Sus scrofa: one gene and its partner. The protein of the gene in region 1 interacts with the protein of each later gene in a pairwise test. Links are inferred from orthologs where the notes say so. Each region holds a gene or a part of one and is shown in the gene's direction. Other genes may lie near its edges.

Region 1 (4,032 bases):
TTTTCTGTCGCCCCCATTTGAGTCGAGCCTCTTTCAGGTTACTAGTTACAGTGATTCTAATTCTCTCTTTTCCCCCATTATTTAAACAAGCAAAAAACTTGTATGTGAAATTTTTTTTGGAAAGAACCGAGTATGACAAGGCCTTCCAAGATAAGACTCTTACACAGACACCTCAGCCCTTCAGCTTCCGACCCCAACCCAAAGATTTCCACTTGCATGTTCCTCACTTACTGTTCCAGTAAACATTTATTGAACATCTGCTGTCTTCCAGCCACAGTGCTGGATTTTGGAGTCACAGAGATGAGCAATTCAGACATTGTCCCTCCCCTTACGAAGCTCTAATGACTTAAGGGGAAAAGATCCACAGGAATGAGAAGTTACACCCTTACATTTCTGCCCCCTGGTCCTCCCATAGGAAAGATCACTGTGGATTCCTATTGCTGTCTTTTTTTTAATGGCCACACTCTCAGCATAAGGAAGTTTCCAGGCTACAGATTCAATCCAAGCCATGGCTGTGATCTATGTGACCAGAACCACTGCAGTCACGTTCTTAAACCACTGTGCCACGGTTTTTGTAACCTTAAACCTAACCTAAAAAGCAAGGTGCTTAGGGAGATGTTCCTGAAACAACCTGTCTTTCCTTTTTATTGGCCTTTCACTTGTTGTTCCTCTGCCTGAAACACCCATTCTCCTGATTCCCAGCAGGTCTCAACTCAAATATCACTTTGGCAAAGAAATTTTCCTATTGAAATTGTCTTATTGATTTATTTTCTAGGCTTCTTTATTATCTGCTACCCCAACAGAACAAGCCCCTTAAGTCCAGAGACTTTGCCTGTCATCTCGTTCTTTCCTATGTCTATGCCCAGAATAGTGCCTAACTAATAACAGGTGCTCAATAAATATTGAATGAATAAGTGTAGAAATTCCACCTCTCTTTTGGGTGTTTTCCAACCTACTCCAACATCCTTTTTTTTTTTTTGGTCTTTTGTCTTTTTAGGGCCACACCGCAGCATATGGAGGTTCCCAGGCCAGGGTCCAATTGGAGCTGTAGCTGTCATCCTACACCACAGCCACAGCAAAGCAGGATCCGAGCTGCGTCTGTGACCTACACCACTGCTCACAGCAATGCCAGATCCTTAACCCACTGAGCAAGGCCAGGGATCGAACCTGCATCCTCATGGATACTAGTAGGGTTCATTAACCACTGAGCCATGACAGGAACTCCCCAAGCACCTTCTGATGCACAAACCCATTCTTCCCCCTTTGCTTTCCTGTGCTGGGAGTTCCTACAAAACCCATGTTCCTAGAACACACTTACCTCTAGGCTCAGCTGCACCCCCACTTTCAGAGAGCATGACGTCCTTCTCTAAGGCTTTTTCTGTCGGCAGATTCAGCAGGGCGGGGCCTGCCCTTTAATCTGGGCCCCACCTGCTCTGGTCAGACAGGTTTGGAGACCCAGGTAAAGGGAGGGAGACGGAGAGAAATACTTGCAGAGCCAGCAGCGAGCTAGGCAGCTCCTTCCCGGACGCTGGGGACCCTCTACCTCTCTCCAGATGGAAAGTAAGTGGGTGTCACGGGTCCAAACATTAAGGGATCGGAGGTCCTTGAGCAGTGAAGGGAGGGAAGTTAGCCTCATCCAGAAGCAGTGAGATGGAGGACGGCAGGGAGGGGAGAAAGACAGGAGAGGAGGCATGGGAAACAGCTTTGATTAGACCTAGAGGTCAAAATGGACAGACCCAGGCCCTTCAGATGTGGAGTGGGTTGGTGAGAAGTTTGAAAACCGACCAAGTATCCAGATTGGAGACGAAAGAACAGGGTCCCCTGCTACTGCCAGCTCCTTGGGACAGATTTGTTGGCAAATCGTTGGTATAAGTTGCCAGGAGAGTTCCAGTCCGGGGTCTTCAGGGGAAGGCAAGGTTTGGAAGTGAAAGGGAAGCTTCTCTGTCCACGAGAAGGTCTTTAGCAAGAAGAAAGCCCTTGGCAAATTTCTAGACACCTCCTTTTCCTCTCATTCCTGCATTTGGGTGGCCATGACCCCAGGGGTTTTGGTGGAGAGGGGCAGGAGATGTGGGTGGAGGCGAGGCCACAGCTGCCAGGGCCTGTGCCCCCTGACTCACCCTCTCCTGGTGAATAGCATTTGATGTCGAAAGGGTGTCTCCATTTCAGCTGCTCACTTCCCTCCTGCCTCACTCTATTTCAACACAAGGACCATGTTCTCCCTAAGGTCCCAGATGGGGCTAAAGCCCACCGTAAGACCAGCTGAGCTTCGGTTCTATCAACCCAGAAAACAGCAGCTTTTTTTTTTTTTTTTTTTTTTTTTTTGGCCTTTTTATTTTAGGTCCGCACACGGGGCATGTGGAGGTTCCCAGGCTGGGGGTGGAATCGGAGCTATAGCTGCTGGCCTATGGCACAGCCACAGCAAGGCCAGATCCAAGCCACGTCTGCAACCTATACCACAGCTCGTGGCAACGCCAGATTCTTAACCCACTGAGCAAGGTCGGGGATTGAACTCGAAACCTCATGGTTACTAGTTGGATTCATTTCCACTGAGCCACTACAGGAACTCCAAGAGCAGCAGCTTCTGACAGAGCTTCCCTCTGCTCCTTCCAGGGTGACACGACCTTACGGTAGACCCCAGAAGTGAGGCCCCAGGATGACGGAACCCGAGGCCATGGCCCTGCTGGAGGTGAAGGGGCCTGCAGCCCTGGAGAAAAGCCCACCCCAGGCCTTGGTCCCCAATGGCGAGAAGACAGAGGGGGAGGGTGGAGCTGAGTCTCCCAGAGCCGAGTCCTCCAGAGTGGGGTCTTCAGCTGGGTCTCCCACAGCCGGACAGGGGACTGAGGATGGGCTAGATAGCACAGTAAGTGAGGCTGCCACCTTGCCCTGGGGGGCTGGCCCCCAGCCCAGTGCCCCGTTCCCAGATCCCCCAGGCTGGAGAGACATTGAGCCTGAGCCCCTCGAGTCAGAGCCAGCCACCAAGCTGGAGGAGTTGCCCGAAGATGACGCTTGCCTGCTGCCTGAGAAGGCGGCCCGAGCCTTCGTGCCCATCGACTTGCAGTGCATTGAGCGGCGGCCACAGGAGGACCTTGCTGTGCGCTGTGAGGCGAGCGAGGGCGAACGCCGCCGGACCTTCCTGCCCACCCGGGCCGCCCCCGCTGAGCCCCCTGAGCGCAAGTGGGCTGAGGCAGTGGTGAGGCCGCCTGGCCGCTCCTGTGGGGGCTGCGAGGGCTGCGGAGGCCATGAGGGGCTCAGGGCTGTGGCCTCCGTAGGAGCTGCTTTCATCCTCTTCCCCTGCCTGCTCTACGGGGCGTATGCCTTCCTGCCCTTCGACGCCCCGCGCCTGCCGACCATGAGTTCCCGCCTCGTCTACACGCTGCGCTGCGGGGTCTTTGCCACCTTCCCCATTGTTCTGGGTGAGCCTGGGTCCTGTGAAAAGGGAGGGGGCATCTGGGAGCTGGACTGGAGGGCAGGGCCTTCCTGGCTTGGAGAGCAGGAGAGTTTCCCCTTGTGAGACCTGGACCCTCGGGGGGGCCCCCCCGCTACCCTGTGTGCCCACCTCTGCCCCACAGTGTAGAGCCCATGCCCCTGAGCTCTCCACTATGGACCCTGCCTCCAGCTTCCTGCCTGCTGCTCCTCTTCTGACCCTGTGTTCTCTAACCCCACCCAGGGATCCTGGTGTACGGGCTGAGCCTGTTGTGCTTTTCTGCCCTGCGGCCCTTTGGGGAGCCACGGCGGGAGGTGGAGATCCACCGGCGATATGTGGCCCAGTCGGTCCAGCTCTTCATCCTTTACTTCTTCAACCTGGCGGTGCTTTCCACCTACCTGCCCCAGGACACCCTCAAACTGCTCCCTCTGCTCACTGGTCTCTTTGCCATCTCCCGGTGAGTTGGGGCTGGGGGTGCGGGACCAGGGAGGTAGTGGGGCTAGAGGGACCCAGGCCTCTGAATGTCTGGAGGTCCAGGCCCAGGGAGCTTTCTGGATTCTGGATCGGCCTAGATGTGCTTGTGGGAAAGGTGAATCCACTTTCTCCCT
Region 2 (4,120 bases), on another chromosome or scaffold:
AAACATCAAGTATTTAATATAATATTCAGTCCCAGAATTCTCTATAAGCTGTTACTTGCCATGTAAGCGTATGGAATGGTAGCATAACAGAAGAGGTCATGGGTTTAGCAGTAAGAGTAGACTTTGGTTTCATTCCTTGCAATATTTTTAGTAGTTTCTTAAAATTGAGCAAGTGGATAAAATTTCTATGTCTCATTTTTGTCATTTGAAAATAGGACTAAACAACAAGGTCCTACACTATGACACAGGGAACTATATTCAATGTTTTGTGGGAATTCCTGTGGTGGCACAGCAGAAATGAATCTGACCAATATCCATGAGGATGCAGGTTTGATCCCTGGCCTTGCTCAGTGGTCTGGGATCCAGCTTTGCCATGAGCTATGATGCAGGTCACAGACGTGGCTCAGATTTTGTGTTGCTGTGGCCGTGGGGGAGGCTGGCAGGTGTAGCTCCAATTTGACCCCAGCATGGGAACTTCTATATACCCATGGGTGCGTATAAATCTTGTATAAATAATAATGGAAAATTATATGAAAAATAATACATAGGACTAAAAGAAATAGGACCAGTAGTGTCTAGCTCACAGACTTGTTGGAAAACTGAGATTGTATGAGAGAACATGTAGATGGGTAGTACTTAGCTCATAGTCATTGTTGAATAAATAATGTACTACTTTGTATTATCAACCCTGACAAATCCCAAAGAGATGTGTTACAGTGTACCTTCTAATGGCATCCTTCCTATAGCTACTGTCTCTGGGTTCTTCTGTTAGTCAGTGAGATTCTTCACAGGTAATCATTTTGTTCTTCTAATCCCAGCTCTGGCCAGATGAAAAGATGGATATTTGCTAAGTGTTTACTAGAAGCGTGAGTACATGAGTAAATGAATGAATGTATAGGTCTAGCAAAGTATTGGTGAATTCAAGGTATCAAAATTATTTTAAGTTTACCTAGGCCAAGTCAACTGATGATGTCCAATTCAGTTGTGAGACTGATGAAAGCAGCCCAAGACATGAATGGTGTCATTTGTCTTACATTTGGCCTGAAACAAAGATCTATCTCGTGTGCTACCTTTTCATTTTTTATGTGACATCAGTCTCAGAAACAGGATCTGAAGGTACCAATGGGAAGTTACCACAGCCTAGTTTTCATTTCCTGCTTTTGGGTAGCTGGTCGGACTACTTGTTAATGCTTAGTAAACCAATCCCACATGATTTGACTCCTAGATCCTCTTTTGTCTAGAGGCACTTGTCTTAGGAGAAGAGAGGGATGAGCTCGCAAATGCTGTGTCAGTTTAGAAACTCACTTGAACCATGGAATACCAGTCTCCTTTAGAAAATGTGGATGAAGATGGATACACTCAGTTAGACTTCAGCTCTCACAACCTCACCAGGAGATCTGTGGTCTCCGAGAAAGGTATTTTTTTTTCTTTCTGATTTCAACATTGTCAATCTCATCAACTGAAATTGGAAGTGGAAAAGAGAGGCGAGACGTGATTTGTTGGGCTTTTATTACTATATGTTGATTTTCAGAAATCGCTGAAGATTCTTTGAATGTGCACGAAGCCTTTTCTCTCAGCAACCATTCAGTGACCAATCATTAGTACAGTTGACCCTTGAGCAACAGGGGTTTGAACTGCACAGGTCCACTTATATATGGAGGTTTTTTAATCATAAATACTACAGTGCTACACCATCTGAAGTTGACTGAATCTGTGGAAGCTGAATGTAGATATGGAGAACGTCAAATACTGAGGGTCCACCATAAGTTATAGAGGAATTTTTTCGACTGTGGGAGGGTAGATGCCCTTAACCCCAGTGATGTTCAAGTGTCAAATTTATTTAAGTTAATTATTATGATGATGAAAAATACCTACAATTTCTCTATTCTCTAGAGATGGGCACTTCCAAAGTAAGAAGTTGTACTAAGTGAGGTGAAATGCAAAGATGAAAGAATTTTGACAGGAGTGACCTACTTGATAGAAATGAGTAAATTGTAGCATGGGATTTAAGGAAAGGTAAAGCAGGGATTCCTGTCGTGGCTCAGCAGAAACAGATCTGACTAGCACCCATGAGGACGCAGGTTCGATCCCTGGCCTTGTTCACTGGGTTAAAGATCAGGTGTTGTCGTGAGCTGTGGTGTAGGTCACGGATGATGCTCAGATCTGGCGTGGCTATGGCTGTGGTGTGGGCTAGTGGCTACAGCTCCCATTTGACCCCCAACCTGGAAACCTCCATATGCCTCGGGTGTGGCCCTAAAAAAGACAAAAATAAAAAAGAAAGGCAAAGCAGTGGATATGAACAACATCAAGATACTGGAGATCAGGAGAAGAATGAAAAGATGGAAAAAACAACTTGTGATTTTGTGGAAAAGGCCAAAGAAGTCAGAAGTCTTAGGGCTTAGAAGCCCAAATCTGAATTTTTTGTATGTGTGATAATGAGGTTGATTTGATATTCTTTTTTTTTATTTTTTGTAAAGGGAGTTTTTGTATGTCAGTGAAGAAATATATGTGTTAGATAAAAATATCCCATTATCAGGACACGAGTCTTAAACCAAATGTAAAAGAAGTGAAACCTGGACAAGGGCATTGGTCTCTTTAGGAGTTCCCTTTGTGGCTTAGCGTTAACAAACCTGACTAGGATCCACGAGGATGCGGGTTTGATCCCTGGCTTCGCTCAGTGGGTTAAGGATCCGGCGTTGCCCTAAGCTGTGGTGTAGGTCACAGAGGCAGCTCAGATCCTACGTTTCTGTGGCTGTGGTGTAGGCCGGCAGAGACCTCTCTCTTCATTGAATGAGCCATTTAATCTCCCCTGTAATTCTCCTATTTGAAAATTCTCTGAAATGCTCTTAATGCCTATTCTCAATCTTGGTGTAGGGGTATTAATAGAAAATGAATTTCTTGTTATCAAGGGAGAGTTTATTCACAGGTTTTGACGTCAGAATTTGCTCCCTTCTGCTTTCTGCTCATTCATATTGCACAATTATTTTCCTCTCATCGCTTGTGCAATTCTTTCCTTGGGCAACCTGTTGGGGGAGAGTGGAAAAACTATGCAAAAGATAGGGAGGTATGTGTGTGTTTACATGTATGTGTGGTTAAACGGTGGGTTATCTAGACTGTGCTAGTAGTCTAGGTGCCTTTATGTGTGTTAACTTATTTAATTTTCATAATAACATTTTGATGTATTAGTACCCTCACTTTTCACAAAGAGAATTGAAAAAAAACAAAAACAAAAACCAGAGGGCATAATTTTCCCAAGAGCATGCAACAAATAAGAGAAAGGGGAAGATTACTCTTAGAAACCAGTGCTATTTCTGCTCCATGAAGCTGTCTCAAGAAGGAGTATGCTTTCAGGAATCCTGATAGTGTAAGACATATAAACATCAATGTGGAGCTGAAATTTAGAGTGCACAAATACCAAGGCACTGCACTCAAGTTACAGTTTCAGAAACATGAAGAGGTATTGCTAAAAGGGGAGAAAAATTCAGATTATTCCAGATGAGTAGATATTTCGGGGATCAGATTTTGATGAACTAGAGAACTGAAATGTTCCATGATCCATTATCCAGTTACTTTACTCAATTTCTGCTCTCTTTGGCTCCTCAGGACCTTGTGCTGCATCCCCTTATTGGCGACCCATTACTGTGACTTTGGGAATTTTATGCTTGTTAATGTTGGTGATAGCTGTGGTCCTGGGTACCATGGGTGAGTACTGGAGGAGATGAGCAATGGCAGATATTTAATTAAAAATGTGTAATGATCTAGGCACTCTTTTAAGAGTGTAACATAATCTTATTTAATCTGCATATTGACCTTATTGAATTAGTGCTATTAGTTCTTATTTTAGTCCTGGCATCATAAACCAGTTAATGGTAGGAACGTGATTGGATGTTTAGGCAGTATGTCTAAAAAACTCATACTTTTAACTGCAGTGATCTACTACCTTCTTGAATAGCTGGTTTCAAAGCTGTGGAATTCCTAGGGTAAATGAATGAGAGGAAACCAGCGGAGGTGAAGAAGGAAGTACAATTAGTGCTTATCTTCCTAATGAAATAAATTCTTTAAAAAGACTATAAGACATTTTTATATCTCATGATTTAAAGAAAGTGTTTTGTACCTGGTC

The links. The genes of interacting proteins can lie anywhere in the genome.
Region 2: the proteins of TMEM79 (region 1) and CLEC7A interact in binary tests that used the Homo sapiens proteins (3 or more experiments, as listed by UniProt). The two-hybrid records come from large-scale screens. The link is inferred for Sus scrofa from reciprocal best matches to the Homo sapiens genes TMEM79 and CLEC7A.

What each region holds. Positions count from the first base shown.
Region 1 is NC_010446.5:93,766,041-93,770,072, reverse strand, and holds the start of TMEM79 (transmembrane protein 79), read left to right. Parts: upstream 1-1,232; 5' UTR 1,233-1,560; intron 1,561-2,610; 5' UTR 2,611-2,653; coding exon 2,654-3,413; intron 3,414-3,667; coding exon 3,668-3,881; intron 3,882-4,032.
Region 2 is NC_010447.5:61,831,715-61,835,834, forward strand, and holds the start of CLEC7A (C-type lectin domain family 7 member A), read left to right. Parts: upstream 1-1,312; coding exon 1,313-1,415; intron 1,416-3,603; coding exon of another isoform or gene 3,604-3,702; intron 3,703-4,120.